Linked DNA regions of Rhinolophus ferrumequinum. The protein of the gene in region 1 purifies or fractionates together with the protein of each later gene. This does not show direct contact. Links are inferred from orthologs where the notes say so. Each region holds a gene or a part of one and is shown in the gene's direction. Other genes may lie near its edges.

Region 1 (10,139 bases):
GGTGTATGTGTGAGACGGAAGTCTTGTTGGACTGAGCCCTTAACCTGTGGGATCTGACCCTATATCCAGGTAGACTGTGTCAGACCTGAGTTAAATCGTAGGACCCCCAGCTGTGTCACAGAGAATTACTTGTCATAGGGGGAAACCTCCCCGCAGTTGGTGACCAGCAGTGTCAGAAGTGAAGTGTTCTGTGTGAGTAGTAAAGGAGACTCGCAGGTGAAAGACTCCTAGTAGAGAAGAACTGGGTTTTTTCCTACACAGAAGGTGAAAAACTGAGCTTTTCCATTACAGGGCTGCTGGGAAATGAGCAGGGGGCCAGATGATCTGTCAAGATCTCTCCAGCTCTGATGTTCTGTTCGTGGTAGTCAGGGTTAGAAAGTCAGGAAACTGAGGCAGAGGAGGGTCCATGTTACAAGAGATAAGAAGTGTGCACTTCTGCCCAGGCCATGGGGAAGCTCCAACATTACCCTTCCTGCTGTACTTCAGCTTCCCTGCTCAGCTCTTCCACTTGCAATTCTTTTACCACAACCTAAGCTGACCCTCAGACTTCCCAACATTTGATTTCCCCGCAAATGCCTGGCTGCTCCCATCCATATGTCTAACTACTGATCACATGGTAACCGCTGACCTACGGCCCCACAAAGATACACCTCTTTAGGCTTGAGTTTTCCTTGCTGGCTTCCTTCCCCATCAGGCCCTCCAGCACACCCACCCCAGCTTTCCAGAAGTCTGAGGCATTTCCACACTCCTCTCACCTTCCTCCCCACTCTCTGCCTTTGCCGGCTACAGGAGAGACCAGTGGGCAAGACTAGGCTGGAGGGAAAGTGAGCAAGAACCTGTCTTCTGGAATCGGACAGTCGGGGCATGAAACCAGGCCTTATGGTTTATGAGTTGCGTGACCTTGGGCAGAGTCTCAGTTTCATTATGACTGTAAAACATTTAGTCATTATTATTTCTTATTAATACTGGCTTCAAGTTCATAGAACCTCTCCTCAAAGTCCATTTCTTTCTTTGCTTCCCCATTGAGACTTTCCCACCCTGCACCCCACCCACTCCCACCCCTACCCCACCCCACCCCCGTCCTACCCTCACCATGACTCTGCCACAGCTTGTTTGTGGGTTCCCTCATCCCCCCTCCTGGAGTGCCCATTCCTGCCGGGTGTAATTACTGCCTGCGCCCACGCTGACACTTTCTGCCTTGCCCTCTAGACCCCTCTCCAGGCACGTATTTCTTGCGGCTTCAGGACATCGCCACAGCAACCCAAACGTGTTAGGTAGAAGTAGCCTTTCTCTTCTCACGTAACACTCTCTACCCCCACCCCTGTTCCAAGACCTCTGTGCACACCACACATTCTCAAGTCCCTCAGCTTTACCATCTACAGGTCGGCATCAAAGTCGCCCACGTCCCTGCGTCTCAGTCCCACCTGCTACCAAGTCCTAAATAGTCCTCTTCTCATCCCCTCCCCACACCCCCATCCCCTAGCTAGCAAGACTGTGGGGACTCGCATTGGATTTCAGGTTCTGCCTGAATATCCCTGAGGAGGGGTTTTTCTGAACCCCGTCCAACATTCACCTCCATTCCCTGTGTTCTGGCACCCGATAACCCCCTGCCCCGTACCTATCTATGGCTGGAGTGTTTAAAACAGCAGGATCAAAGCTGTACACTAACGATTTGTGTACTTTTAGGATATATGTGTGCTTAATTGACAAGTTTTACAGGAAGAAAAAAAAGAAATATCAGAAGTTTAAGGAAAAAATTGGAAACCATTACATATCACCAGATCTAGAACAAACTCCTCTTGAGCTCAGTCTGGGTCAGGGGCCCCTTGTGTGGACCCCCATGGGCTCCTGTCCGACTCTAGCTTATATGCTGACATGTCCGTCTCACCCATGAGAACTGTCCTGTCCAATAGTAACCACTAGCCCCATGTGGTTATTTAAATTTCAATAAATTAAAGTTAAATTAAATTAAAATTTCATTTCTTTAGTTGCACTGGCCACATTTCAAGTGCTTAACAAACACATGGGGCTAGTGTTGACCTTCTTGGATGGCAAAGATATTGACTATTTCTACATCACATCAAGTTCTACTCTAGCAAAATGCTACGCTAGATATGCGCTCCAGGAAGGCAGAGACCACGTCTTTCTGGTCCTGCGCTGGATCCCTGGCACCCAGCATGCCCTCGGGCCCAGCTCTGATGCTCAATACCTATCAACAGATTGAATTAATGCACACACTGCACAAGACCCCACACCAGCTCCAATACCTGTGTCTTTCTCCCTCTCCCTGCCTCCAGAGTTCAACCCAGGGCTCAAGGTCTCTTTCCTCCCTCCAAACCATCTATGGTCCATGACTCAGGGTCCTAGAAGTGTGTGTGTGTGTGTGTGTGTGTGTGTGTGTGTGTGTGTGTGTTGAGGAGTAGGAGTAGAGAAAGTATTGATGGGGCAAGAGATGGTCATTGTGAAGAGACACCAGGGTTCCTGGCCTCAAGAAACTCAAGTTGGAGCTCTGTCAATGGCCGCTCCCACGTATGCAGTGGGCAGGCTCCCAGGTTTTGGTTTGAATTCTGGCTGTTTCCTCCCAGCTGTGTGACCTTGGGCAAGCAACTTAACCTCGGTCACTTCCACCGTATGCATTGTTTCCTCATTGTAAAATATGGATAATAATACCCACTTTACATATGTAGAGAGTACATTAAATAAGATGTCTGGGGCTCAGTTGAAACTCAATTATTGCTTGTTCCTTTCTCTACATAGAAGGCAGTAAAATCGCTTCCTCAAACATCATTCAGGTCATGGCCCTCAGACACCTGCATGCTTCCCACTTATCCCACACAGAGGCCAGAAATAACTCCTGATAGCTCCATTTGCCTTAAAGCAAGAGGCTTGTCATTAGTTCCACTGCTCTGCTTGCCAAAGGCACCTGGCTCACCTGTCTGCTAGCTACGTAAGTCTGTTTGGTTTCTCGCCCCCACCTTCACGTCATAGTGCACACCTGAAATTCCCTTCCTGCCCTCTCTTTCCAACAACCAGGCCCTACCTTCTCGGAAGCAGATTTGTTCATGAGACTCACTTCCTCCCTTAAGCCTGGTTGACTCATCGTTCCCAGTTTCAAGATCGCTAATTACTAAAAAGTATTTCATGCCTGCTTCAGCCTTTATCCACCCTTTTTTCTTCCCTCATGACTATGAGGTAAGACTGTACCTGGCCAATCTGCACCTGTGGGCATCTATCTTCCCAGGTATCTGGTTGTAAATGTGAGTGTGTATAGAACAGGAAGCAAGAGCGGGTGGTGCCCGCCACTCCAAAAAAAATAATGCATTTGTGAGGTGCGAGTGCTGGACCAGACCAAATACAAGTCCCATTTGGCCACTTACTATATCACTGGCATTTAGCAATTTACTTAGTCTTTCTGAGACTCAATTTCCTTGCATATTTGTCACAAAAATTAGAAAATTACTATTACTATTTATTACTGCACTGCCTTGCTTAGTGCAGGCACTGTTCTAAGCACTTTACATACATTATTTTATTGAATCTTCACTTCAACTCTAGCAGGTAGGTTTTATTAAAAAGATGTGGAAGAAATACAAAGAACTGAAAGCCAGACTGTCTTACCCAGATGTGAGTTATAAACATACACATACTACCTGAACATATACTTCTTACAAATACATCACACACACATACACACTCCCTATCACCTTGAACCCCATGAAGTCTCCACCAGGAAACCTTCCTGAGCTGGCCCAAACCACATGCTCTCTCCCATCCCCAAACACCAACCGTACTCACTATTAGGCCCAGCCAAACCAGCCCTCACTACATGGTGTTTGTTCATTCATTCAAATAAATACCCAATAACTACTAAGAACCAAGGCTAGGTAGCAGAGAGGCAAGACCAAAAGTGTTGTTCTTGTGCTCCAGGAACTTTGAATCTGATAGGAGATGCTGGCGTACAAACCAAGATTTATAGTAGGCACAGAGAAACAAGCACTATCTTTGACAGCACATATGAAGGTCTTCTAAATCAGACTGGGGCATTTTGGAGAACTTCCTGGTGGTGACACTTGAGTTAAATCTCAAAGATGAACAGGAGTTGCCTGGAAAAGGAAGGAGAGTCAAGAAGAGGGAACAGATTAACATGTTTGGGAAGCTGCAAGTACTAGTCCTATCCGCTGTGATGAAGAGTATTTAACAGGGACGGGCAGGACATGAGGCAGGGCCCAGTGCCAAAAGGCCTGTTGTGCTAATCTGAGAGATTCAAAGTCTGTCTTGAAAATTTGTCAGGAGCCATGGAAGGCTTTTAAGCAGAGATGTGACATGATCAAACCAGCATTTTAGAAAGACTGATCTAGCAGCACAGAGGATGAACTGTTAATAGATGGGACAGGGTGGAGATAGGGGAACAAGGAAAAGACTTTCAACAACCCAGGGAAGAAATGAGCTTAAATTCTTAGTGCAGTGGGAATAGGGAGGGTATTTAAGAGATATTAAGGGGAAATGGGAAGAGAATAGTGCCATTCACTACGGTAGGAAACATAAAGGCTAAAGTTTAGACTGAATGGAGGGAAGACAATACCTTTTGACTCTTGGAATTTGAGATGTCTCTGGGACACCCACGTGATAAACAATAGGTTTTTGAATGTGTGTGTGTGTGTGTGTGTGTGTGTGTGCGCGCGCACATACCCATTTTTCATTCATTATTAAAGCTTGCAAAACATCTGGGCTGGAGATACAAGTTGGAGTGCCATCAGCCTACAGGTAGTAATTAAAACCATCAGTGTGGATGAAATCACCCAGAGAAAGTGTGGGCAGGAAGATCCGTGAGCCCAGGACACAGCTCTGGGGAGCTTCAACTCATGAACGTTCAATTCATGAACGTTCTCCAGACAACAGAGAGTGAAGTGAAAAGGGGTGAGGAAAGGGCCTTGGAGATCATCAATATTTAGGGGAGAACAGAGGGGCAAAGGTGCAGTAGCCAGAACAGGGTGTCAAATCGAAATCAGTAGCCTCAGATGCAAAGGTCAAGGAAGATAAGGACAGGAAACTCCATCCATTAGATCTGGCAACTGGGATGTAGTCAGTGAAGCCAGAGGAAGGTCAGCGGAGTCGTGAGGGCGTGGCTTTCGGCTGTCGGAGAAACCTTTTCAACTGAATTGCGATTGGAGTAGCTGACTCAGACCGCAGTCGCCGCGCTTGCGCACTCATACTTGCCAGCGGGCAAACCGGGCCTTGGCGTTTCCGGACCCCGCGCACGCGCCTGCGAAGCCCACCTACTCCGCCCGGGGCCTCCGCAGGCCTGCAGAGGGCGCTGCACCTCGGAGAGCCGGGGCTGGGCGCCGCTCTAGCCAGCGCCTGGGCTCGGTGGCGGGTGCCGCAACTCCGCGTCCCCGCCGCCGCCTCCCAGCGCAGGTGGGTCGGCCCGCGCGGGGCGGGAGTGCCTGGGACTGTGGGGCGGGCGGGTGGCTGCAGGCTCCGGGCGCGGAGTGGTTTCCACCGCCCAAGTGCCCCGGCTTGGGTTCGGTCCCGGCACAGGCAGCTGTGGGCAGGGCCGCAGGAGTGAAAGTCCCAGTCCGGGTGGGCGCTGCCTCTGGACGTGCAATGCCTGCCCAGAACCCCTTAACACCCCGAGGGTCTCTGTCTCGGCTCGCGTGCGGCTTCCGCGGGATAACTGGAGGCCGGCCTCGCAGGGGCGGGGCTCCCATGATTGACACTTTTCCCCCTAGGTTTCACGGGCTACTTCTGGATCCCTCCCCTATCCTGAACCCTGAGCCGACACCATGGTGAGAACCCAGAGCTCAGCCCCCCACTTCTGCATGCCCCTGCCCTTGCCCCAGTGGTCTTGCCTCTCGATTTCCCTTTATAAACCTGGGGCTCTTTAGTGGGGATTCAGTGGGCCTGCCCATCCATGCAAGACAGCCCGCACCCTTCCAACCTGCCTTTTGCCTTTCCCTGTAGCACGGCCGCCTGAAGGTGAAGACTTCAGAAGAGCAGGCGGAGGCCAAAAGGCTAGAGCGTGAACAGAAGCTGAAGCTATACCAGTCAGCCACCCAGACTGTCTTCCAGAAGGTGGGGCCCTCAGATGTAGCCCTCTCTTTAGGTAGCCCCTTTAATATAGCAGAGAGGCCAAGAACTGGGCCTTAGAGTCAGATTGCCTGGATCCGTATCTGGGTTCTATCCCTTACTAGCTTAGCTATGTGACCTTGAAAAGGTACTGAATTTCTATTGGGCCTCAATTTGCTCATCTGTAAAATCGGGCTAATAATTGCACTTACTGCATAAGGCTGTTGTGAAAATCAAATGAGAGAATATATGTAAACCCATGAAGCACTTTACATCTGTACATAGTACCTGTTGTATGAGATTTATAGAAAATTCTGTACTTCTATTTGTGTTACTTAGTCCTGTAGTGTGAGAATGATAACAATCTCTGATCCTGCTACCTATCTTCTCAGCGCCAGGCTGGCGAGCTGGATGAATCAGTGCTGGAACTGACAAGCCAGATTCTGGGAGCCAACCCTGACTTTGCCACTCTCTGGAATTGTCGACGAGAGGTGATCCAGCGCCTGGAGGCTCAGAAGTGTGTAGGGGTTCAGGGCCCCAGGAAGATGGCTCTAGCCCTGGCCCTGCCCTGCCTGGATCCAGTGATGGAGGAGGAATGGGGCAGCCAGAGGCATAGGCAGAGGGCAGTGGAAGGGCTGGGTGCAGAAAGTCAGGTGTAAGCTGCGGTTGGGTATTGGAGGGCCCTGACCCCCATTCCCCTCTGGGTGCAGGTCCCCTGAGGAATTGGCTGTTCTGGTGAAGGCAGAACTGGGCTTCCTGGAGAGCTGCCTGAGGGTGAACCCCAAGTCCTATGGTACCTGGCACCATCGCTGCTGGCTGCTGGGCCGCCTGCCAGAGCCCAACTGGGCCCGGGAGTTGGAGCTGTGTGCCCGTTTCCTCGAGGTTGATGAGCGGAACTGTACGTGCCTGCAGAGTCTATCCCCACAGCCTTCACCTGCCCCACAACCTAGTACTGGGGTCTCAGTAAGGCCCAGAGTTGGGAGGGATGGTCAGGACAGGCCCACTGAACTGATGACAAAAGGGATGATGGAGCGAAATGCATCCTCCATGGAGTGCATAGAGGTGTTTCTAGGGGCCTTTGAGGGAACTCCAGGGCTACCAGACAGCGAGCTTCTCTTGCCCTGCTTCTGAGATGTGTTGTCACCCCTCCCCCAGTTCACTGCTGGGACTACCGGCGGTTTGTGGCTGCACAGGCAGCTGTGCCCCCTGCAGAGGAGCTAGCCTTCACCGACAGCCTCATCACCCGAAACTTCTCCAACTACTCCTCCTGGCATTACCGCTCCTGCCTCCTGCCCCAGCTGCACCCCCAGCCAGACTTTGGACCACACGGGCGCCTCCCTGAGGATGTGCTGCTTAAAGGTAAGCAGGGTTGGGGGTGCTGGGGAGGCCTCTGCAGTACTGCCATTCCAGCTTAGTCCTGTTCCTGAACGTGCACTTGGATTTACTGAGCAGTTATTCCGTGCCTGGCTCTGGGGGGTACATAAGATTCAGTCCATGGCAGAAGGGAGCTCAAATGTCCAATCGGGAAAACAAAACTGGTATATGCAGCTGCTGTGCCAGGCCCGCATATAGTGAAACTGAGGACGGAAGGTACTGGGAGGAGAGCGTGGGATGTTGGGGCAGCTAAGAGCCCACCAGGGTCCTAAGCACAGCCCTGTGCCCCCTTGACCCCCCCAGAGCTTGAACTCGTGCAGAATGCCTTCTTCACTGACCCCAATGATCAGAGTGCCTGGTTCTATCACCGCTGGCTCCTGGGACGAGGTGAGCCGTAGGGGAGGAGGCTGGGTCTTGAGGGCTTGGAAGGAAAGGAAAAGGATTTAAGGAGACCTCAGGCTGTGTCTTCCTGCCAGCTGATCCCCAGGATGCTCTGCATTGCCTGCACGTGAGCCGGGACGAGGCCTGTCTGACTGTCTCCTTCTCTCGACCCCTCCTGGTGAGTCCTGCAGCTTTTGCCAGAGTATCATGGATCATGGGCCTCGTGCTTTTGGGACTGACAGGTCTGTTTTTGTCCCCTGTGCCAGGTGGGCTCTAGGACAGAGACCTTGCTGCTTATTGTTGATGAGTCACTCCTGGCTGTGGAGTGGAGGACCCCAGATGGCAGGAACCGGCCCAGCCACGTCTGGATATCCCAGAATTGGTGGGGCGCACTGGGGAGCTGGGGCAAGGCTATGGTGGGACAGTCAGAAAAATGGTATGGCCAGGTATTTCCTTGACCCAGTGCTCCCACATCTGTGACCTGCCCAGCACCTCCCTCAATGACCAGCAGCCCCAACATACATTTCGTGTCATTTGGACAACAGGCGATACTCAGAAGGAGTGTGTGCTCTTAAAAGGTGACGCAACCTGCAGCTTCCACCCCTTGCAGCATCCCTCTTCCTCTCATGGGTGTCCCCTCCCTGCCCCTGTTCTTTCTTTCAGGCCACCAAGAGGGCTGGTGCCGGGACTCGGCCACAGATGAGCAGCTGTTCAGGTGATGACAGGGAGGCACACCGACAGGAGTGGGCTGTGGGCTCTGGGCATCCGGCCATTGGGGCGGGAGGCTGGGGATCGGTTAGATGGTCGCAGCCTGGATATGGGTGTGGCAGTAGCCGAGGGCTATGAGCATAATAACCCCCACCCCCACCCCACTCACCCTCAGGTGTGAGCTGTCAGTGGAGAAGTCCACCGTGCTACAGTCCGAACTTGAATCCTGTAAGGAACTGCAGGAGCTGGAGCCTGAGAACAAATGTGAGGCCCCATTCCCTGGGATCCTGCCCCTCTCAGGAGGCCCCTTTCTGGGAGAGCGGAGCAGGGGAGGTTTGGGAAGAGCAGGAAGGGTCTCAAGAGGATGGGAGCAGAGGAGGGTCCAGGAGAGCCGGTCCCGTTCCCGCCCTCTTCTCAGGGTGCCTGCTCACTGTCATCCTGCTGATGCGGGCGCTGGACCCCCTCCTGTATGAGAAGGAGATGCTGCAGTACTTCCAGACCCTTAAGGCAAGCTGGGGCTTTGGGAACCGGCAAGGGGATGGCCCCGGGGGCAGGAGGAAGGCAGCTGCCACGAATTCCTTGCCGGCCCCATCCCTGCCAGGCTGTGGACCCAATGCGGGCAGCATACCTGGACGACCTGCGCAGCAAGTTCTTGGTAGAGAACAGTGTGCTCAAGATGGAGTATGCGGAGGTGCGCGTGCTGCAACTGGCTCACAAGGTATGGGCTCCGTGTGCTTCCCGGGCCTCCCCTCTGGGCCACGCTTCTTCCTCATGGCCTGGCCAGCTTTTCTTTCCAGTCCTTAGGCTTCCGCGGACGTCCTCTCTGTCCAGCCTCTCCACACTCTTGGCTTTGCCTTCAGTCTCAGGTGCCTTTCTGGCCATTTCCTCCTCTGCTCATTGGAGCAGAGCAATATCTAAAGGCTGAATAATTCCCAGAGATTCCTCACAAACTTTACAGACTATCTTTCTCTGCTTGTAGTTCTTCCCAATCTTCCTAACACATCACTGCAGCCCATCTCTGCTCCCACCAAATGGGCTCAACTCGCCAGGCCTGCTCCTCGCCAGTATCTGTGTTTCCCCCCCCACTCTCCTCTGTCCCCTCTACCTGTCCCCACTCCATCCACACCACTGGCCACCAACCCCAGTACTCACATCTGTCCTTGGAGTGTGTACTCTGGTGGCTTGTAAGGTAAGCTTCCCACCTGCCCCATCCTCTCCTCAGCTGAGGTCCCCCGGGCCTCTGTGGGGCACAGAGGGCAAGTGTCTGATAAATGATAGCTGAGGCCCCTCCCCACTGGGTGGTCTTGTCACCCCCTCCTCAGGATCTGACGGTGCTCTGCCATCTGGAACAGCTACTCTTGGTCACTCATCTTGACCTGTCGAACAATCGTCTCCGAGCCCTGCCGCCTGCCCTGGCAGCCCTGCGCTGCCTTGAGGTAAAGCACTTACTCCTCCGTCACTGTCCTGAGTGGTCCTTTTCCTCTTCGTCCACCTCAGAAGTCTGCCCACCCTACAAAGAGAGCCTAGGTGCTCGCAGCCCCTGCAGATGACCCCTGCCTGCCTCCTCTGTCACCGAGCCTGACTGCAGGAGCCCTTCCATGCACTATAAG
Region 2 (9,990 bases), on another chromosome or scaffold:
GTATATGCATTTAAACCATTAACAGATATTGCCAAATCATCATCCAAAGAAATTGTATCAATTTTCACTTCCATCAGCAGTGTACCCATTTCCCTATACTTTTACCAATGCTGTGTGGTATCAAACATTTTCATTTTTGCCAATCTGATTGGTGAAAGTCGGTGTTTCCCACATGCTCACAATGACTACTCCTACCATAACTACTATAATACTAACAACAGCATTTATTGAGTGCTTACTACCAGTCCATTATAGTTCTAAGTACTTTATTTATTTATCACTCATAACCACCTTGGAGGGTAAATAATATCATTGTTGCCATTTTAAAGATGAGGCAACTGAGGTTCAGAGACGTTAAATAACTTACCTGAGGCCCATTGGTAAATGACGGAATTGGGACTCAAACCTAGGAAGTCTGGCCAAGAGTCTGAACTCATAACCATCATCCTATACTACCTCCCTAAGAAAAGGATGTTCTTTGCAGCATCATTTGTAGTAGCAAAGGACTAGAAAAAACACAACTGAATATCCACCGATAGAGGAATACTAAATAAATCATGGTATATCCACAAAATGGAATTATACGAAGCCATTAAAAAGGAGGCATTCCTATATGTACTGAGAACAAAGGATCTCCCAAATATATTTAATGCAAAATAAAGGTATAAGGTGACAAATAATGTTTATAGCCTGCTACATTTGGTGCCAAAAAAGACAGGGATTACTGATACACACACACACACACACACACACACACACACACACAATCTCTAACAGGATTCATAAGAAACAGATAGTAGTGCTTATTTCTGGGGAGGACAACTGATGAGCAGGTAGGGTATGGAGACTTATTAGTCTTAATAGGCCTTGTATGACTTTTTGTGATGATTGGATTTTTTTATTAACCCTGTATGCATTACTTGTTGAATTATGCATATAGAACCAGCTGATGAAACAAGTTTGCTGAGCAATAAACTGATTTTATTCCCATTTAAAATAATACTCGTGTTGTTTTTTAAAGACTCTCTATATTTTATGATTCATCCATTCATTTAGCAGATTTTAAATTTTATTTATTTTTGGCAAATAAAAATTGTATATATTTAAGGTGTACAATGTGATGTTTTGATAGATGTATGCAGTGAAAATGATTACCACAAACTAACATATTAACCCCTTCCTACAATTACCATTTTTTGTGTGTGGTGAGAGCACCTGAGTTCTGCAATCTTAGTAAATTCCAAATACACAATACATTATTATTGACTATAGTCACCATGCTGTATATTAGGTATCCAGAACTTATTCATCTTATAACTGAAAATATGTACCTTTTCATCAATACCTCCCCAGCCTCTGATAATCACCATTCTACACTCTATTACTATGGATTTGACTTGTTTGTTTACTTATTTATTTATTTATTTATTTATTTTCCACATACAAAGGAGATCATGTGATATTTGTATTTCTGTGTCTGGCTTATTTCACTTAGCATAATGTTCTCCAGATTCATCCATGTTGTTGCAAAGAGCAGCATTTCCTTCTTTTAAAGTCTGAATAATATTCCATTATATGTATACACTACATTTTCTTTGTTCGTTCATCTGTCAACGAGCATTTAAGTTGTTTCCATATCTTGGCTATGTGAATAATGCTGCAATGAACATGGGAGTACAGATATCTCTTCAAGACAGTGATTTTATTTGCTTTGGATATATACCCAGAGGAGGGACTTCAGCAGATATTTTTGAGTGCCTATTATGTGTCAGGCAGGGTCTAAATAATGTATCGGGAATATAATGATGAATAATATAGGTATAGTCCTTGCCTTTGTGAAACTTAACTTCTAAGAAAATGGCAGATATAAAACAAGTAATTTTAATACTTGAAATTTTCAATACTTAATTTTGAAATAAGTAATTTCATATTTCTAATCATGAAAAGTTCAACAAAGGAGGGGTATGGGGTGTTAGAAGACCTAAGCTAGCTAGACTGTGCACTAAATGAAGACTTGCCAGAGTATGTGACCTTTCGAATGAACTGAAAAATGAGTAGAATTAAGGTAGTAGAAAGGGTAAAAATGCACCTCAGGCACATGGAAGAGCATGTTTCAAGTTCCTGAAGCAGGTAGGAGCATGGGGTATTAGAGGAAATGAAAGACAGCCAATGGCTGGAGCTTAGAGAGAAAAGGGTGTAAAATGAAACTAGAGAGTTTAGCCTGGCCTTTTAGACCATGTTTAAAATTTTGGAGTGTGTTTTAAGAGCAATGTGAAATCATGAAGGATTTAGGTCGAGGAGGACATGATCGGATTTGAATTTTTAAAAATTTACTCTACCTGCAGTGTGGAGAGTGGATTAGAGAGAAGCAACCACAATTATTTATGGACCCCTTATGGGGTCCAGCTGGGACCTGCTGTAGTATTCTAGGCAAGAGATTATGAGGGTAGTCCTGATTGAGAAGTGGATATATTTACAATATATCTTTGAGATAAATCTGGTAAGAATTGCCAATGAAATGGTTGAAGGGTGAAAGAGAATGATATATTAGGGATGATTCTTAAGTTTTTGACTTGAGGAACTGATTAGAAGGTGGTGTCATTTCTAAGGTAGGAAACATTGGATGAAGAGAATTGGGTGTGGGGTTGAAATGTTCAGGAATTCAGTAATGAACATGTTCAGAAGAGATGTTGAGTAAGGAGGGGTTGGATATATGTATGTGGAGCTCAAAGGAAAGGACAGGAATAGAGACCATCAAATTATAGGTTTGTAAAAAAGTAACACATCAGACTTCACAGTCGAGTACACTTATGAATAGAAGGAATTTGGTTTTCAACTCAGGAAACCACTAAGTATAAAATTAGTGTCACAGTGATTTAATCGGGTAGTCAGTTCACAGGTATCCATCATCGCATTGTACTGTGACTTATCCAATTAAAATATTTCAGTTCTCAAACATAGATGTCCGTAGAATAATGGAATAGACAGAAATTTTACTGACATTATCAACTCTTATATTCATCTTTACTTTGCAAAAAATGTATAAAAATACATTTGAAAGAACAGGTATTTTGAGCATTTTTTCCATGTAGAAGCTTTGACTATTTCTAATGTAATAATCTTTTCCCTGCTTAGAGAGGGTGTGATGACTTTAGAGAAAGAACAATTAAATATAGGCTGGCATTTTATCTTTCTGAGGGTCATGCTTTCTAGCCTCAGTGGGATTTGAAATTTGGGGTAAAACATGTTGGAAAACTAGCACTACAGAGTAATTATTTGTTTGTTTTGTTTTATTCCACTAGATGCAATGTTCATGATGATAGGGGATTTTGTCTGTTTTGTTCATTGCTGTAATCCCAGCTTCTAAATCAGTGCCTTGCACATAGTAGGTACTAAATGAATATTTAAGGAAAATCGAAAGTTAGATATAGTCATATTGAAAAGGATATACTATACGAGGTTGGACAATTAAGTTCGTGAACTCATCCTAGAAAAAGTGCTATATACCTCATTGCTGAATATCACTACGGTCACCTTTAAAGTACTCCCCTTGGAAGCTATGCACCGACACCAGCACCTAGTCCACCCTTCAAAGAAATTTTGGAACTCTTTTTCTGGAATGGCCATCAGAGCTGTCATTGTATTACCCTTGATGTCCTGAATGTCATTAAAATATCTTCCTTTCAATATTTCCTTTATCTTAAGGTAAGGAAAGAAGTCATTGGGGGCCAGATCAGGTGAGTAGGGAGGGTGTTCCAATACAGTTATTTGTTTACTGGTTAAAAACTCCCTCACAGACAGTGCCCTGTGAGCTGGTGCATTGTCATGATACAAGATTCATGAATTGTTGGCAAAAAGTTCAGTTCGTCTAACTTTTTCATGCAGCCTTTTCAGCACTTCCAAATAGTAAACTTGGTTAATTGTTTGTCCAGTTGGTACAAATTCATAATGAATAATCCTCTGATATCAAAAAAGGATAGCAACATCGTTGTAACAAGTTCGTGGACTTAATTGTCAGAACTTCTGTGTGTGTGTGTGTGTGTGTGTGTGTGTGTATACTTGCATATACATGTATACACATATATCTCCAAAGTAAGATAGAAATATTTTATCATGTTTTTAACCACCCATTTGTGGTTTCTCGCTGTTAGAGGAGATTTTGGAAAGTTTCCTGTGTTTACCCTGGGAAAACTATTAATTTCCATTTCCATTGGTGGTATTAAGAGTCTCACAGATAAGATCTATTTCACTTCTGATAATATTCATGTACAATGTTGCTAACGATTAGGGCAAAATGCAGCCCAAAACAGCAAAATACTATTTTCAAGAATTTTCCTGGAACTTTAATAAAGTAACAAAGATATCGAGTGTCTTCAAATGACGACACATGAGAGTGGTGCGCAAATATAAAAGCGAAGATTCAGTCCCTGTCTCCACAGTATTTACCATCTATTAGGGGAGTCAGGACTAAGCTCAGCTCATCAAACATTTGTTAAATTCCTACTACGTGCCAGGCTTACATTAGATGCAGGAATTAAAAACAAATAAGGCATGGTCCCTGTATTTTTGTGAGAATGTGTGGGAATATGGGTACTATATAGGAACCAATATAAATGCAAATACTTTCAGTGCAATATGGGAGGTTATGTCAGAGTGGTAGCGCTATGTAGGGAAATTTAACCAAATATAGGGAAGAGATGAAAGGAGGAGGTGGTATTATAGAAGCTGAACTGAATCTTGAGGACGAACGTTGCTAGAGAATGTGAAGATCATACCATGCAGAAGGAACAACAGAGTGACTGGGGAAACCACCAACATCTTGGAGGACAGGTGGTGTAAGGGAGGGTCCACTACTGCACTTTCTCTTCGAATTATTTTGAAAGTCTTGCAAAATAACTACACAACTAATTTCTGAGATCAAAAAGTACGGTCCCTCACTCCCATGCACACCCCGCCCCCTTTTGCTTTAGTATTTTCAGACAGCAAAGAATTTTATATAACGGGGTGGGAGGAGGCTGTCTTGAAAATACTTGTGAGAGCTATATCAGCTGCTTAGCATAGACAATCTAAACCACCTCATCAAATACAATCACCTTAATATAATGGCCATTTTATCTTGATCATTTCTGCAGTTGCTTATCAGGAGAATCTTGAATGTACTCCTCGTGTATGTATAGAAAACCAGATTCTGAATCAATAAACGCTTATCAAACAACTACTATGCTTTCATGTATTTCTTCCCTTCTGTAAAGAAAGGTTAATTTTGCCAATATATATCGCCGGGGTAGCTGTTTGGACCCACTAGAACCAATACAGACACGATGAGGGTTCCATTCTGGCGAAACAAGGGCGAGAAATTTTTCGTGAACTTTGTGGAGGAAACACAGAAACGAAAAAGATACAGGATATAGTCCGAAAGTACTGGTGTGAAAAATTATGCTTTGGGGGCCAAAACGAAAGTACAGACACGCTCGGGAAAACAGTTTCCAGGCTGGAATGACAAATTTCCTTTGTTCATAGAGCAATCCCTTTGCAATTTCACTCCGCCCTGCCTGTCTTCTAACAATTCTTGCTTCATCATTGTCAAGGGTTACCACGTCTTCTCACATTCATTCTAACCTTTGGGGTAAAAATCAACATGTGTTTTGTACTCCAAATCTCCAGGCTTAATGCGCTGTTGCACTCAGCCTGGAAAAGGAACTGAGCTTTTCACATTCCCGTAAATTTGTCATGCATAATGCTGTAGCCGCCTACCTGGATCCGCCACCCAAGAACTACAATACCCAGAATGCACTGCTTTCCCTTCCGCTTTCTACCAAGGCAATGCCAACCTTGATTTCATTTCCACAAGCAATAGTCACATGACACGTTTCCTGTCAAGATGGCGGATAATCTCCCTTCGGAGTTTGATGTGATCGTAATAGGGACGGGTATGTGTGGCTCTGGTACTTCCCGGACAAAGTATAGGAAGTCTATCTCGTTCCTACCTTATCTTGTCAGTGGCGAGGGTTGGCGAGAAATACCAGGGGTCGAGCATAGGAGGAAGGACGGAAAGGAAGTGAGGTAGTCTGGAGTCAGCGCGGGATTTAGCAGCTCCAGGGAGGGGCTTGGACCCGCGGTGTTTAGCGCCATTTGAGTAGGGGGTCGATCTGGTCGTGCCGATTGCTGAGGTTGGTTGCTGCGGGTGATTCCTGTAATTGCCTTAGAGGGAGGTGGGTTTGCAGTGCCACGAGAATGGAGGGTCGGGATTTTATCAATGGAGACGACTTTGGCATACGTTATGATTTCCTTCTTGTTGATTTCAAGGTGATATTCCCCATCATTTTGTCTCGCCATTTCATAGGAATTTTTCGTATATTTATATAATCCTAGGGTGCAGTGCAGCTCGGATACAGCTTAATCCTAAATTTTTCGCAAAAGATGCTCAGTTGTTACCCGTGTGCGTATTAATTTACTTTGGCGAGGAAACGGATTATTTTCTATTGTGTGGAGAAGCCTAGGGAATTGTATTTTTTTGAGGTAGCTATTATTCCTGCTTCATGGTGCAGAAAGAAAGCATTTTGCTTTCTACCACCCCACTGACCTACTCACAATTAAATGAGCTGAGAACAAGCTGTGAGTTCCAGTTCAGGTGTGTGATCTTATCTTCCCCTTGTTTTCCCATCGTTTATTTTCCATGTTTTGGGTGGAGCCAGAAACCCCTCTGCAATTTCTAGTTGACAAATTCTACATACAACACGTAGCAGAAGGCATTTGGCAGCAGTTGGTATTTTGTTTTTCTTAACAGTGTAAAGGGTGGATTTTAGATGGGGTGGAATAGGTTGTTGAGTGGGGATTTCTCCTGTCTGCAGAACGTGGTAGGCCAGAGAAGCTCTGGTAGAGTGAGACCCTGTCCATTGTGTTAATGAATTCAGTTCGTCTTAAAACAGTAGGAGCAGCCATGTTTCCAGGGCAGGAGTAAAAATAATGGCTACCTGTTTTCCAGTGTTTATTATTTGCTACTCCATGTGCTGAGCACTTTACAAGCTGTATGTAATCCTCACAACAACCTTGTTAAGAGTAGGTATTCCCTACACTTTGCAAGAGGACTTAGAAAGGTTGCAGTTTGCTCACAATCACATAGCTGGTAAATTTCCAAAGGCCCATTACATCCCAGAATGAGAATCAGTAGTTCAGACCCTCCGATTAACCCACATTAGTAAAGATAATTGGAAAAACTCGGTTCTAGACCTTGCTTGGCCATTAACTAGCTGTGTGAAATACTAGGGCTAGGCACTTAATTTCTCTGCTCCTCAGTTTCCTTGTTTTTGAATATAAGGAGGGTAATCTAGATAGTCTTTCGGTGTCATCTAACCAGAAATTCTCTTATTCTAGTTGTACCTGGGTAATTGTTCTCAGAACACCAAGAATGTTGTTTGTTCCCAGCCTGAAAACTGCATGGCTGCAGATAACCTGTTTGTAATTGCTATGAACAGATGTTGGATGAGAGCTGGAAGAAGCCAGTAGACTATTTATTAATGTATTCTCTTCAGTCTATCCTAAAACTGAGAACAACATCCATTTTAGAGTAGTTGTTGTACCATACTTGGGTTCTATATTATTGCCTTTCGTTTTTGTTACCGAAACACTTGGGGTGTTAAAATATCTTTTTGAATCATTAAGAGATTTTTTTTCTTACCTGGATTCATATTTTAATTGGCAATGGCACTATTTCTTATTGGTAAATGCTGTTAGTTCTTATAATAAATATTTTGCCTTCCAGTTCAATTCATAATATGGACTGCAACCATCCTGTTGGAGTATGTTATGATAGATGTAGGAAGATACTTTGAGTGATCAACAAATTACATCAGGAAGCATCTGTTATATCGGGAAAAAGATTCATTTTAGACTTAATTCAGTGAGAGTAATGTTATTTCTCAAAATATGGGAAGAACTTATTTGAAGTTAATCTTAAACATTAATGTTTTCATTATCACTTAATGGTGAACATATTCTGAGTTTATCAAGCACATTGCTTAAATTTATGGCATGAAGCTTTGTTTTTAGGTATGTCAAAGTGAAAAAATTGGATAAAAGTCATTTCCCAGATAAATTATTCTAATAATTCCAATCATTACTTAATTGGAATTTAATGTGTTTGGAATATTTCTCTTTTGAACTAGTTTGCTGAAAGTAGCCCTTAAATTGTATTTGTATTGCTAAATGTGCTGGTTTGAGTAAATCATAGGAAAAGCAGTATTTCATAGATTTAGTTTTACTGACAAAAGCAGAGTTAATCATGCATGTATCAGAAACAAGAAGAAATAATTGGGGTGGCCGGTTAGCTCAGTTGGTTAGAGTGTGGTGCTGGTAGCACCAAGGTTGTCGGTTTGATCCCTGCATGGGCCACTGTGAGCTGCACCCTCCTTAAAAACAAGGAAAAAGAAAAAGAAAAAGAAAAGAAATAGGCTGTGAGATGTAACTTTTCTTAAAACAGATTTAGTTCTATTAATAGTTACAATGTCATTAACAGATAATTGCTTCATCAAGTAAAATCATCTATGGAAAATATTTTAAATCCCTTTGACCTTGATTGATTTGTATTTCGTTTTGCATAACATAAGGTATTCCTTAAGATCCTGTTTTGAAGAGATTATGGGAAAATAAACTTTTGTATGTATTTTCTTAGTTAAGCCCATTTACTTCTAATTAGAATATACAAGAAATATCTGTGGAACACCCAAAGACAGAGTAGTTAAGATAAAGTACTTAAACCATGGAAAATACGGAAGAAAATGGAATAAGAGGAGAGCCAACTGGAGTCTCAAGGGAGAGGACAAAACTGGATATAAGTGATTAAGTGTCTAGAATGTCACCTTCAGTTTGGGTACACAATTGTCATTTTCAAGACATTTTGCCATTTAAAAAGACATTTATTTGAATGATAATTTTATGGGTTGTAGTATCATTGATTTCAGGTTAAAAATAGTCCCAGTAGCATAACACGTTACTGGAGGTGACTTACCTGGCAACCTGTGTAATCGCAATCTGCAGCAGAGCCAACAACTCAACAGAAGATCAGGCAAGATGGAAGTTACAAGAGCTACGTGATAATACTGACATGTTTCTTATTTAGGGGAATCCCTTAGACTCTTACTTAGGGCATTATTCATTCTTATTTTAGAAATAATTCTAGCAGCTCAGTGTATATTAGAAGCATCCTATTAAAAGATATGGGGAATGTTATCAGCTTCTGCAAAAGCTGTGTTTGGGGGATTTCATTAGATATAAGTGACCGTTCATATCCTTATGGGAAAGGGAAGAGTCTTAACACCTAAAATGCAAACCTACATCAAACAGCACAATGTCCTGGGACCATTTAGTGTAGTGACAAACACTCACTTTTCTGGGTTTTCAACCCACATTTACTGAGAACCTAATTACTGTCCTTGTGAAATTTACTGTATTGCTTAGTTTAAAGACCTGTTTGGGGCTCTGACATTCTCAGAGCTATTCATAAGCCAGGGTAGGCTTTTCATTGCATCCTTCTTACTTTCTGAACACCATATAGAGATTCAGTCTGCATCCCTTTCTTTTCTAAAGTACACCACACTGTATTTTGGAGTTCTTCCCCGAAGATGAGTTGTAGGATAGGCTAGCTTAATTTTTTTTTTTTTTGCAGAGGGTAAACACATAAATCCTTTTAAAAAGTTTTATTGCTAAAGATTATGGGGAAAGAAATGAGATAACCAGAATAACACACATGGAAATTACAAAGGTTGTTGTTCCTAAATCCTGACTACCTTGCTAGATAGTACTCCACAAGGTGCAATACTAGATATGGCGGCATGGCATAATTGGAATCACTTGACCTTCCTACTGGGTGACTTGGGGCAAATTGCATAACCTCTTGGGACGCATTTTGTTCATCTGCAAAATGAGAGATTTGCATTAAGTGACCTCTAAAGTAGGCATCTACCAGCTCAAAAATTTACCATTGTGTGTACA
Region 3 (10,414 bases), on another chromosome or scaffold:
TACAGAACATATCTGCATCTGACACACTACGTAAGTATTTATTTGGTTATTGGCCACTCTCCCAACACCACCAGAATGTAAGCTTTAAGAGGGCAGGGGCTCAGCACCAAAGAATAAATGAATGAATGAGTTAATGAATGAATGAATGAATGAAAGAATACTTTAGGAAAAAATGTAGCATGTCTTTATTCATTCATTCAACTAGTATTTATTGTGAACTTACTGTAGACTAGGCACTATGTTGAAAAAACAGTGGACATTAAACATACAGAGCTTATTAAATGGTTGCATAAACCTAATATATACAATTAAATGAGTTTTTTAAAGAGTGTGTGGTGTGCTAGTCTCATAGATGACAAATCCACTTTGGAAGGCTTAGAGACAAATCAAGGTTTTGAGGGCAGAGCTCACTGCTTCTCAGTTATTGTTCAATGCACCAGGGTGGAGAGCTGACCCTGATCTGAAGACAAGATTCCATTACCAGGGGATTTGGAATGGATTGGGATTTGGATTTGGAATAGCTTCATTGAAGCTAGTCATTCTTTCCTGGTCCTTCTAAACAGAGGTAAGAGGGATAAACGCCCTCATGGAGGGCAATTCCTTTGCTCTTCCATCCACTGTGCTAGTCACCAGAGCCCAGGACAGATTGCAGGTCTGGCTCAGGGCTGTGGTCCTTCTGCGGGGCCTTGTTTAGGGGCTGATTGTGCAGAGACAGAGGTGCAGCTCTTGCAGAGAGTGATGACGTTCACAACCTATATTTGACTTGTACTATATTTTCATTGCTACTGGGGAAAAGCGTGCTGTTCTAAATATAGGATCTACCTCTGCTAGATTTAGGCTGAAGCTCTGAGGGCACCGCCTGGGCAGTCACTGCCAGCCTGGGCTGTGGCAGGCCTCGGCAACAGGATGTCTCTACAGCTACTTCAGAGCAGGCCAGGAAGGACCACGTTGGCAGCCCTCGGGGTCCAGCCGGGGGCTTCCGCTGTGTGTGAGATGGGAGTGGCGTTGTGGGCTCGCTTCCTGGGAAGGAGAGAAGCCTATGGTGGGAGTCCCTTATCCCATCACCACCTTAGCACAGGGCAGGCACAGGCACTCATGAATGTCTATGAATGAGCCAATGCGTAAGTGAGTGAATGCACGTGATACTTTCAAGTTGGGTGAGGGAGAGACAGGGTGTGAGAAGCCGCTGCGGTTGATTCGCCTCCCGGCTGCTTTGTCCGCCCGGGCGCCTGCAGGGGCAGGAGCGGATGGGACCTGGCGACGTGAGGCGGGAAAAGCGGGGCAAGTACGCGACCACGTGGCCACGAGCGCGCGCTGGGGGGTGTGGCGACGAGGGGCGCGGGGGGCGTGGCGACGGGGGCGCGCTGCGGGCCGGGGAGCGGCGGGAACGCGCCCACGGGGAGGAGGCGTGGCTACGAGGCCGCGCCGGACGGAAGGGGCGGTGGGGAGGGCGGTGCCAGCGCGCACAATGGCCAGAGCCGGCGGCAGAGCCCGCGCCCCTCCCAGTGCCCGGCACGCCCCGGGCCGAACCCAACGCTGAGCGCCTCCCGCCGAGCGCGCGGGGCCATGTTCCCGGGGAAGTGCGACGGCTGCCAGGGCCTGTGGGAGAGCGGCGGGCCCGCGGGCGCCGAGCGGCCAGCGCTGGCGGCGACGCTGAGCCCCGGCCCGCTCTTCAGCCCGGGCACCTACGAGCGCCTGGCGCTGCTGCTCGGCTCCATTGGGCTGCTGGGCGTCGGCAACAACCTGCTGGTGCTCGTCCTTTACTACAAGTTCCAGCAGCTCCGCACTCCCATCCACCTCTTCCTGGTCAACATCAGCCTCAGCGACCTGCTGGTGTCCCTCTTCGGGGTCACCTTTACCTTCGTGTCCTGCCTGCGGAACGGCTGGGTCTGGGACTCCGTGGGCTGCGTGTGGGACGGGTTTAGCAGCAGCCTCTTCGGTGAGTTGAGCCGGAAGGAGAAAGCACCCCTCTGTCCTCTGCCAATTTCCCATTCCCTGCATTGCCATCGTCTGTCTCTGCGCTTCCTCCTGCCACCCAGCCAACCTCACCTCACCCCCGCTACCGCCCTGCTCCGGCTGCGCCTCCCCTCCCGCTCCTAGATCCCAAGCTGCATGGCGTTCCTTCTTCCCTCAGTTCTAACTGCCCCACGCTGACCTCGACTCCGCCCCTGTGGTCACTGATCTACACCCACGCGGACCCGACACCTCAGCCCGTCTGTCATCAGCCCCAGCTCCTTCATAACTCTGTCCAGCCACTGGCCCTCTTGTCTCTTTTATGTTTGCATCCCTGTAATTCAACAGGGCACGAGACGTTGGCTTTTACACTTTGAGGAATGAAACGAGGCACTAGAGAGTCAGAAAATCAAGAACAAAAGTGATGAACTCCTGAAAGTTGTAGAGGGTGATGAGACGAGATTTTATATACTGTTTGTTTCCTAAAACGAGAGGGTAGAAACCTAACAGAGTAGCAGCAATGTGTAATTCGCTCATTAGCAACTGTACACTTTTGAATGCTTCCTAGGAATTGAGATCATTCGGGTCGTCAGTATGCAAATTGACTTGAGCCTGATAAGCTATTTTTACTATATTTTCCTTCTTAGGGGTTCCAGCACATCAAAATCCAAAGTGAGATTACAAATAACTCAGAATCTCAACTCAGATGAACAAAAAATTAGCTGTACAGCCAGTAGATTTCATTGAAGTAGAACTTGATTTTTAAAGATTTATTTCAACAGTATTCCTAATCCTTACCAAAGGTTTAAGTCTCACTGAGACTTGAAAGATGGATCCATCAGCATATCAATGAAGATGTGATTTTCTAAGTTCAGGAAAGAAATGATCTTTTTATGTGTGCTCCAGAATTTAATTTGTACGAAGATTTGAAATAGAAATGTGTGTTTCTCAGGTGTTAAAGCTTTCTTTTTTTTAAATCCTGAAATCCGTTGATAATTTTTTTACTGCTTTTGGCAGGTTTTTGAGAACAAAATCTTTGTAACGTTATCAAAATTTCCTTGTTTACCAACCTCATATGTTATGACAAACTGGAAGATTATATTTGTAATGATTCATTTTTTGATATTTTGAAGGAAACAAAAAAGCCATAGATACCATGATTTCATTTGTTTGATTTCCTCAATCATTCTAATATTCTAATACTACCTTTACCCTCCCCAATAAGCATTAATCTGAGAATTTCATTTGTATGAAGATTTGAAACTTGGTAGAGGGCTGTAAGTATATGTAGGCAGTGATATAGATGGTTATGTGATTACACTGTATATTAATTTAAAATACCTATCAGGCAATTTTTTTTAAGCAGGGCTGAGCTTTAAAGAGAGTGATTCAAGCTCAAGCCTAAAGTGTCATCAATAATGCTCCCAAGGATGAACAAGAGGTGTTTGGTCACAGACGTGAAAGTCCTTATTTCTAAGAAGTGCTCTTTCTGTGCTGGGGAATTCTATTTCTATCTTAACTCTGCATGGGAGTTTGAAAACAAGGGTATATATTGAGTTCTTTATTGTAGCAACTTTCAGTCTCTTCCTCATCTCTTCCCTCTGTGACCCCACCTTGCTGTGTCTTCTTGTCTCTTCCACCCTTTTTCCTTCCATCATCCCTACTCAGATCCCATCCCGATCAGAAGGGATAATCTAAGACTACTAGAAATATTCACCACATGGTATTTTCCCTGACCACTGCTCTGTTTATCTGGACATTTAGTTAATGTTTCAACCGTGACTATCTCTGCATTTTAATTAGAAATGGAAACGCTGGGGTAAGAGATCAAGAGACTTGTTTAAACCCTCGGAGACAAGTCAATAGTGGGATTAGGATGGTTTAAAACATTCTCAGCAAAGATTAAGAATTTCTTTGAAGTCAATTCTAAGGATTGTGCTTTTAGATAAAAGTTAAAGATAAAGAAAAAGGGGGTGCTTTCCCCTTTGTCATCCTTGAGCAAGATCTAACCAACCATGAGAGGAAATAAAAATGCCAAAAGTGGCTGCTTGCTCCAGAGGCCTCTGGAGAGGCTGCCCTATCACGTGGAAAGACCACTGGCCTGATGGCAGGAGAGTGGCTCCTACTCTTGATCTTGTGGCTAAAACCATTGTGGGGACTTCCCCATCACTTAAGCCCTTCAGCCATCATAATATCTCTATTATGGGATAATTGACTAAATCATTTTTAAGATTGCCTTGCCTACTTGCTGTGTATTTTGAGGATTCCTTTGATAGTTGTCGATTAAAAGGTTCCTGGTTTTAGCACTTATGTCTTCTATCCTCTTCTCTTACTCTCATCCCCAGCTCTATCCCTTTTGTAAGCCAAGAAAAAGCACATACTGTGGTTACACCTCTTATACCCTAATGGGTTCTGTCTTCCTCTGCACACCCTCCTGGAAGAAGGCAGAATAAGTAATTCAGACACACTTACATACATACATGAGTAGGCCAGGCAACCACTTCATTCTGTTCAATTTCTGGTTTCTCACGGAATGCTGAAAACAAGTGGACTCCCAGATATTCTTGAGGCAGAGACTTTGACTATATAGGACTGTTAAGATAGCCATGTCACTTAAACTGACCAGTCACTTCATTGAACTAGTCAATTTAATCTAAGTTTTGATGGAATGGCTTGTTTTACAAATGTCCAAGATAATTAGTCATCTTAGCCTAGGCAGGCCCAGTTTGTAATGGTCTAGATTTCAGTAAGTTTAATAGTGGGGAGAATCAAAGCTCAAAGAAGTCTCTTACTTTGCAGTGATGGATAATAGCAGGGCCCCCTAGCGTATGGTGTGTGTAGTGCTTTAACCTACAGACTTCCAGGTGAGTGTGCCTTTTACCCCCTTGGCTGCTCCACCTCTGGCCAAACCTAGCACCACACAGATGTTCTGCACATGGAATATAAGCAGTGATAGGCCTTTCTTAAGTACCACCTCCTACCCCTTCAAAAACAAGAACAGCAAACATGTTATTCTTGGCAGAAGATGTTTAGACAGATCTTTATATTGGGACACAGAGATTTAGGGTTACAGAGTGAATCTGTCAAAATGCAGGTCAGCCTATTCAAATGTTAGAAGTAGGTGTTATTTTTGTTAATATATTTTAACATTTGAATCCAGAATTTTTATACCTAAAAATACATATCTGTACGTATGTATACTCACATAAAGATTTATTATAAATACATTTTCCCTTCAGTAGACTTATTCTTTTACTGAATTAATCCTTTTATAATAAACTGATGTGTTAATTCAGTTGAAATAGCCCCATGTTGCCACCACGAGATCCTAGTGGTGAGTGAGGTGTGGGAAAGTCTTCTATTCAACTGTTCTGGAATCACCCACAGATGGTACTGGGCACAAAACATTTCTCCTCATAACAGCGTGCGCATCGTATATAGTCTGTTTCCATAAACACAGCAGAGCTACACATTTCTATAGTCTAAGCTCACGTTTGGGTATAGTTTTATTCACATATTAGTTTTCTTAAAAGCAGAAGTTATAGAATGGCATTATGTTCTTTGTTTTGGTGGGACATTATTATATCCTTCATTATTGAATTGCCTGATTTGAGGGGAGTATATCTCTATTGTTAATTTTGAAGAAATTAGAAAATATGTGAGAAAGCATTTAATGACTTGCTTTAGTAGTAGCTTATGTCCTAATAAGTCAGGCTTCAATGGATTGTAATCGCTGTTGCATGAAATTATGTTTCTCTTAATCTTGTTTACAACTGTATTATTTCTTGAATTTTCTTCTTTCAGAGAAGAGTTCCAGTCACAAATGCATATGTAATGCATTTTGACATTTACTGCTAAGATGAAATGCAGAAATGAAAACTACACATCCGCTTTAGTATTCTCAAATGTGATTAGATGTACTTTATCATGTTTTTGTGCTACTGATCTATAAGGAATAAAACAAAAACAAAACACTAAAAAGGGGTAACAGTACAGCTAGGACCTGCAACCTCGATACTTCTGGGATGAACTGGAACATCACAAAGAGAGATTTTATTTCAGCATATTCACACCTCTTCTGAGCCCTCAGCCTAGATTCATACACATTTCTTTCATCGGCAGTCATCACGAGACACTTTACCTCTCAGGATGGCAGACAGTCTCCCTACAGAGTTTGATGTGGTTATTATAGGGACAGGTTTGCCTGAATCCATCCTTGCAGCTGCATGTTCAAGAAGTGGTCAGAGGGTTCTGCATGTTGATTCAAGAAGTTATTATGGAGGAAACTGGGCTAGCTTCACCTTTTCAGGATTGCTCTCCTGGTTGAAGGAGTATCAGCAAAACAGTGACATTGGGGACAAAAGTACTACTACATGGCAAGATCTGATTCACGAAACAGAAGAAGCCATCACTCTTCATAGGAAGGATGAAACCATTCAACACACAGAAGTGTTTTGTTACGCCAGTCAGGACATGGATGACAATATTGAAGAGATTGATCGTCTGCAGAAAAATCCTTCCTTGGTAGCATCTGGTACCCTTACTAAACCTCTGGATTCTGCATGCTTGTCTGAAGAAACACACTCATTATATGGTACGAGCTACGGAATGTCTGTCAAAGACACTCCAAAAACTGATGGAGAGATTTTACTAGAAGTAACTGGGATAGAGGAAACTCAGGTGAAAGAAAAATATTGTGGAGATAAAACTTGTATGCACACCATTGCAGGAGGAGATAAAGATGAAAACAAACCTATAGTGGAAGACAACACTGATCGACCAAAGAGAAATAGGATTACTTACTCTCAAATAGTTAAAGAAGGCAGAAAGTTTAATATTGACTTAGTATCAAAGCTGCTATATTCTCAAGGACTGCTAATTGATCTTTTAATCAAATCAAATGTTAGTCGTTATGCTGAATTTAAAAATGTCACTAGGATTCTTACATTTCGAGAAGGAAAAGTAGAACAGGTGCCTTGTTCCAGAGCAGATGTATTTAATAGCAAAGAACTCACTATGGTTGAAAAGAGGATGCTAATGAAGTTTCTTACATTTTGTTTAGACTATGAACAACATCCCGATGAATACCAAGATTTCATACAGTGTTCATTTTCAGAGTACTTAAAAACTAAAAAATTAACCCCCAACCTTCAGCATTTTGTACTACACTCAATTGCAATGACAGAGTCATCCTGTACTACAATAGATGGCCTTAGAGCAACAAAAAACTTTCTTCAGTGTCTTGGACGGTTCGGCAACACTCCGTTTTTATTTCCCTTGTATGGCCAAGGGGAAATTCCCCAGTGTTTCTGCAGGATGTGTGCAGTTTTTGGTGGAATCTATTGTCTTCGCCATAAAGTACAATGCCTTGTAGTTGACAAAGAATCTGGCAGATGCAAAGCAATTATAGATCACGTTGGTCAAAGAATAAATGCTAAGTATTTTATTGTGGAGGATAGTTACCTTTCTGAGGAAACATGCTCAAATGTGCAGTACAGGCAGATCTCCAGGGCAGTGCTCATTACAGATCAGTCTGTACTAAAGACAGATTCAGATCAGCAGATTTCCATTTTGATAGTGCCTCCAGTAGAACCCGGCATGTGTGCTGTTCGGGTCACTGAATTATGTTCTTCAACCATGACATGTATGAAAGACACCTATCTGATACATCTGACCTGTTCGTCTTCTAAAACAGCAAGAGAAGACTTAGAATCAGTGGTAAACAAATTGTTCACCCCATATGCTGAAACTGAAATAGATAAAGAACTTACAAAGCCAAGAGTCTTGTGGGCTCTCTATTTTAATATGAGAGATTCCTCAGGAGTCAGCAGAAGCTCATATAGTGGCTTACCTTCCAATGTGTATGTCTGCTCTGGGCCTGACTGTGGACTAGGAAATGAGCATGCAGTCAAGCAAGCTGAAACACTTTTCCAGGAGATCTTTCCAGGTGAAGAATTCTGCCCCCCACCTCCAAATCCAGAAGACATTGTCTTTGATGGTGATGATAAGCAACCAGAGGCTCCTGGAACCAATAATATAATAATGGCCAAACTAGAATCCGCTGAATGAAGCAAAAACCTAGAAAGCCCAGGGAAGCACCTTCAAGATTAGAAAAAAGCAAATTGGAAATGCTACTTTGGGTCTCCATCCTAGAATCAGAATATTCTCATTGAAACGACCGTTTCTTAGATGATTAATTAGAAGTGGTTATATGATGAGTGCTATGCAGATGTTTTTAATTCTGTTTGAGACATTCAGTCATGGATGTCTTTGTTAACCTATCAGTAACTGATTTATTGGTTATTGGACTTTGTTTCAGAATATACTCCATAATCCAGAATCTTAAACAGGTTAGCTTTATTTTAGTATTGATATGTATGTGAGGATTCCACATTAGCAACTGTGCTTAAAGGAAGGTAATATTGTGTCTGCTAATGACCTTCAGATTTTATTGTGACAATGACAATATCTAAGGAATATTTTACTTTGCAGTTGTTATAGTTGCTACCACTTCTGAATAAAACACAGAGTAAATTATGTGGGCCTTTTGTATATAATATAAACATATACATGCTAGCAATAGCAATTAATGCAAATGCCAATACGATAAAATACATTTGTCTAATTAAAAGGTTAGCTTTACATGATCCTTTATTTGTGAAGGTATGATGTTTACAATAAGTCTTGTGGTTTAATTCTCCTGCTTGACCCTTGTAACCAATGAGGCAATGTCACCACACAATCTTCAGTTAGTTGTTGAAGAGCTCATTCTTTGGAGGTTCAGTCCAAAAAAAGTCTAGGGAATAATATTGGTTCTGATTTAATACTTCAGAAAATTTTTACAGAACCCATATCTGTCACCTGAAAGAAAAGAATTTCCAACAAGTAACTCAGGACAAGAGAAAAAAATAAATTGCTCCAGGAAACAGATACTTCATACTGACTGTTGTGAAATTTCAAGGAGAAACCAAGTGAGTTGTTTTTAACCTGGGATTGTTTGCCCGAGGTTTCTCAGTGAGAATGAACATTCCACTTGTTGGCTCTACCTCTGTAATTAGCAGCGCTAACTACAATCGATGGGAGTGAATCAGAGGAGGCTTTATCATGTCCCTTCGGTTGTGTCCCGCCCCACAAATAGTGAGGTCACCACCTCCATAATTGCTTCTGCCTCTTGGCTGTTATCTAGAGGATAGAAATACTTGTTTTTCACAAAACCACCAGAAGCCATAAAGCTGTTGTTACTCCAGTGTTGAAAGCCTGTGGAGCTGTCAGAAGGGGCAAACTCCCTTCCCTTTCAGTCCCCTGTTCCCATTTCTCAGAGAATGGTAATCTTGTAGGAAAAGAACTGTTCAGTGGCAGTTCTTGTTCTGGAACAGAGCATTGACTTACTACCTGCTGGGCACTCACTGTGCTCTCTCATTACAGACTCTCAACAACCCGATGAGGCAGATGTTGTTGAACACATTTTCAAAGCGGTAATAAAGACAGTAATTTGCTCAGAGTCTGATATGTGGAAGAGACAACACTGGAATCCAGGCTTTCATGATTTCAAAATCTTTCCATTAACATTAACTGTTGGAAGAGTGTGGGTACTAGAGGAGGAAAAATGCTCATGAAAACCAGTCTAGTGTTGAAGGTGAAGAAAAGTATACAGAAATTGGTCTCGCACTTTATTGAATCAGAGATATGTTAAGATTAAGAGTAATTGAAAATAAATAATAGCTTAGAGCTATTAGGTCTTAGAGCTCATGAAGCAGAATTTGGCTAACTTTTCACAAAATAAGGCTTTTTAATAATGTACCCTTTGATGTGAACATCGTGTTATAAAAATACAGATGTTACTAGGGCAAAATATACTCTGAATAATCTTTTATTGCTCTTCCATATGTGAGGAAAAGGAAACAAGAAAGATTTAAGTAATTTACACCTTACTAAAAATAGAGAAGTCGTGAATTGGTGTGTGTGTGTTTGTGTGTGTGTGTGTGTGTGTGTGTGTATTTGAGATATATACTATATACTTTTTTTCAATATAGCAAAGTGGTATTGAGTGGATCCTAAAGTTTAAATCCAGCAAAAATGCCTGAAATAGACCTAAAAATTAGTCATTAAAATGAAAAAGAATTTAAGATGATAAAGAAAGTGGAGGTGAAGATAATCCATACCTATTTAAAAAACTTCAATTTCAATACACTAGTCTTAAGAATTTAAGAAAAGGAACAAAGAAGTTGCAAAAGATGGGAGAGCCAAACATAATGGAAACAGGAAAAATGTGTTAAACTAGCCAAATATAAGGGTGGTTTTAAAAACTAACAAAGTGAATATATTACTTTCTTAACTTGAATGCAAAATAAATTAGAAATGAGAAAAGTGATAACCAATTAAAAGCATTAAGAATATTATGGGAGAAGCTTCCTGTGAGAGTGGCAGAGTAGGTAAATGCTGTTCTCGCCTCCTCCATGAC

The links.
Region 2: the proteins of RABGGTA (region 1) and CHM purify together in Homo sapiens (co-immunoprecipitation; 4 studies listed by BioGRID and IntAct, counting the BioPlex papers as one, with this or other methods). This does not show direct contact. The link is inferred for Rhinolophus ferrumequinum from reciprocal best matches to the Homo sapiens genes RABGGTA and CHM.
Region 3: the proteins of RABGGTA (region 1) and CHML purify together in Homo sapiens (co-immunoprecipitation; 3 studies listed by BioGRID and IntAct, counting the BioPlex papers as one, with this or other methods). This does not show direct contact. The link is inferred for Rhinolophus ferrumequinum from reciprocal best matches to the Homo sapiens genes RABGGTA and CHML.

The regions. Positions count from the first base shown.
Region 1 is NC_046289.1:74,411,155-74,421,293, reverse strand, and holds the start of RABGGTA (geranylgeranyl transferase type-2 subunit alpha), read left to right. Parts: upstream 1-5,183; 5' UTR 5,184-5,415; intron 5,416-5,729; 5' UTR 5,730-5,783; coding exon 5,784-5,786; intron 5,787-5,961; coding exon 5,962-6,072; intron 6,073-6,458; coding exon 6,459-6,583; intron 6,584-6,776; coding exon 6,777-6,964; intron 6,965-7,221; coding exon 7,222-7,425; intron 7,426-7,743; coding exon 7,744-7,827; intron 7,828-7,916; coding exon 7,917-7,999; intron 8,000-8,087; coding exon 8,088-8,189; intron 8,190-8,293; coding exon 8,294-8,399; intron 8,400-8,484; coding exon 8,485-8,536; intron 8,537-8,704; coding exon 8,705-8,793; intron 8,794-8,947; coding exon 8,948-9,036; intron 9,037-9,130; coding exon 9,131-9,247; intron 9,248-9,851; coding exon 9,852-9,965; intron 9,966-10,139. UniProt on the Homo sapiens protein: Catalyzes the transfer of a geranylgeranyl moiety from geranylgeranyl diphosphate to both cysteines of Rab proteins with the C-terminal sequence -XXCC, -XCXC and -CCXX, such as RAB1A, RAB3A, RAB5A and RAB7A.
Region 2 is NC_046284.1:68,792,701-68,802,690, forward strand, and holds the start of CHM (rab proteins geranylgeranyltransferase component A 1), read left to right. Parts: upstream 1-5,831; 5' UTR 5,832-5,881; coding exon 5,882-5,930; intron 5,931-9,990. UniProt on the Homo sapiens protein: Substrate-binding subunit of the Rab geranylgeranyltransferase (GGTase) complex.
Region 3 is NC_046310.1:18,518,686-18,529,099, forward strand, and holds CHML (rab proteins geranylgeranyltransferase component A 2), read left to right. Parts: upstream 1-5,813; 5' UTR 5,814-6,102; coding exon 6,103-8,022; 3' UTR 8,023-8,914; downstream 8,915-10,414. Other genes in the region: OPN3 (opsin-3), read left to right, coding at 1,567-1,939. UniProt on the Homo sapiens protein: Substrate-binding subunit (component A) of the Rab geranylgeranyltransferase (GGTase) complex. Binds unprenylated Rab proteins and presents the substrate peptide to the catalytic component B.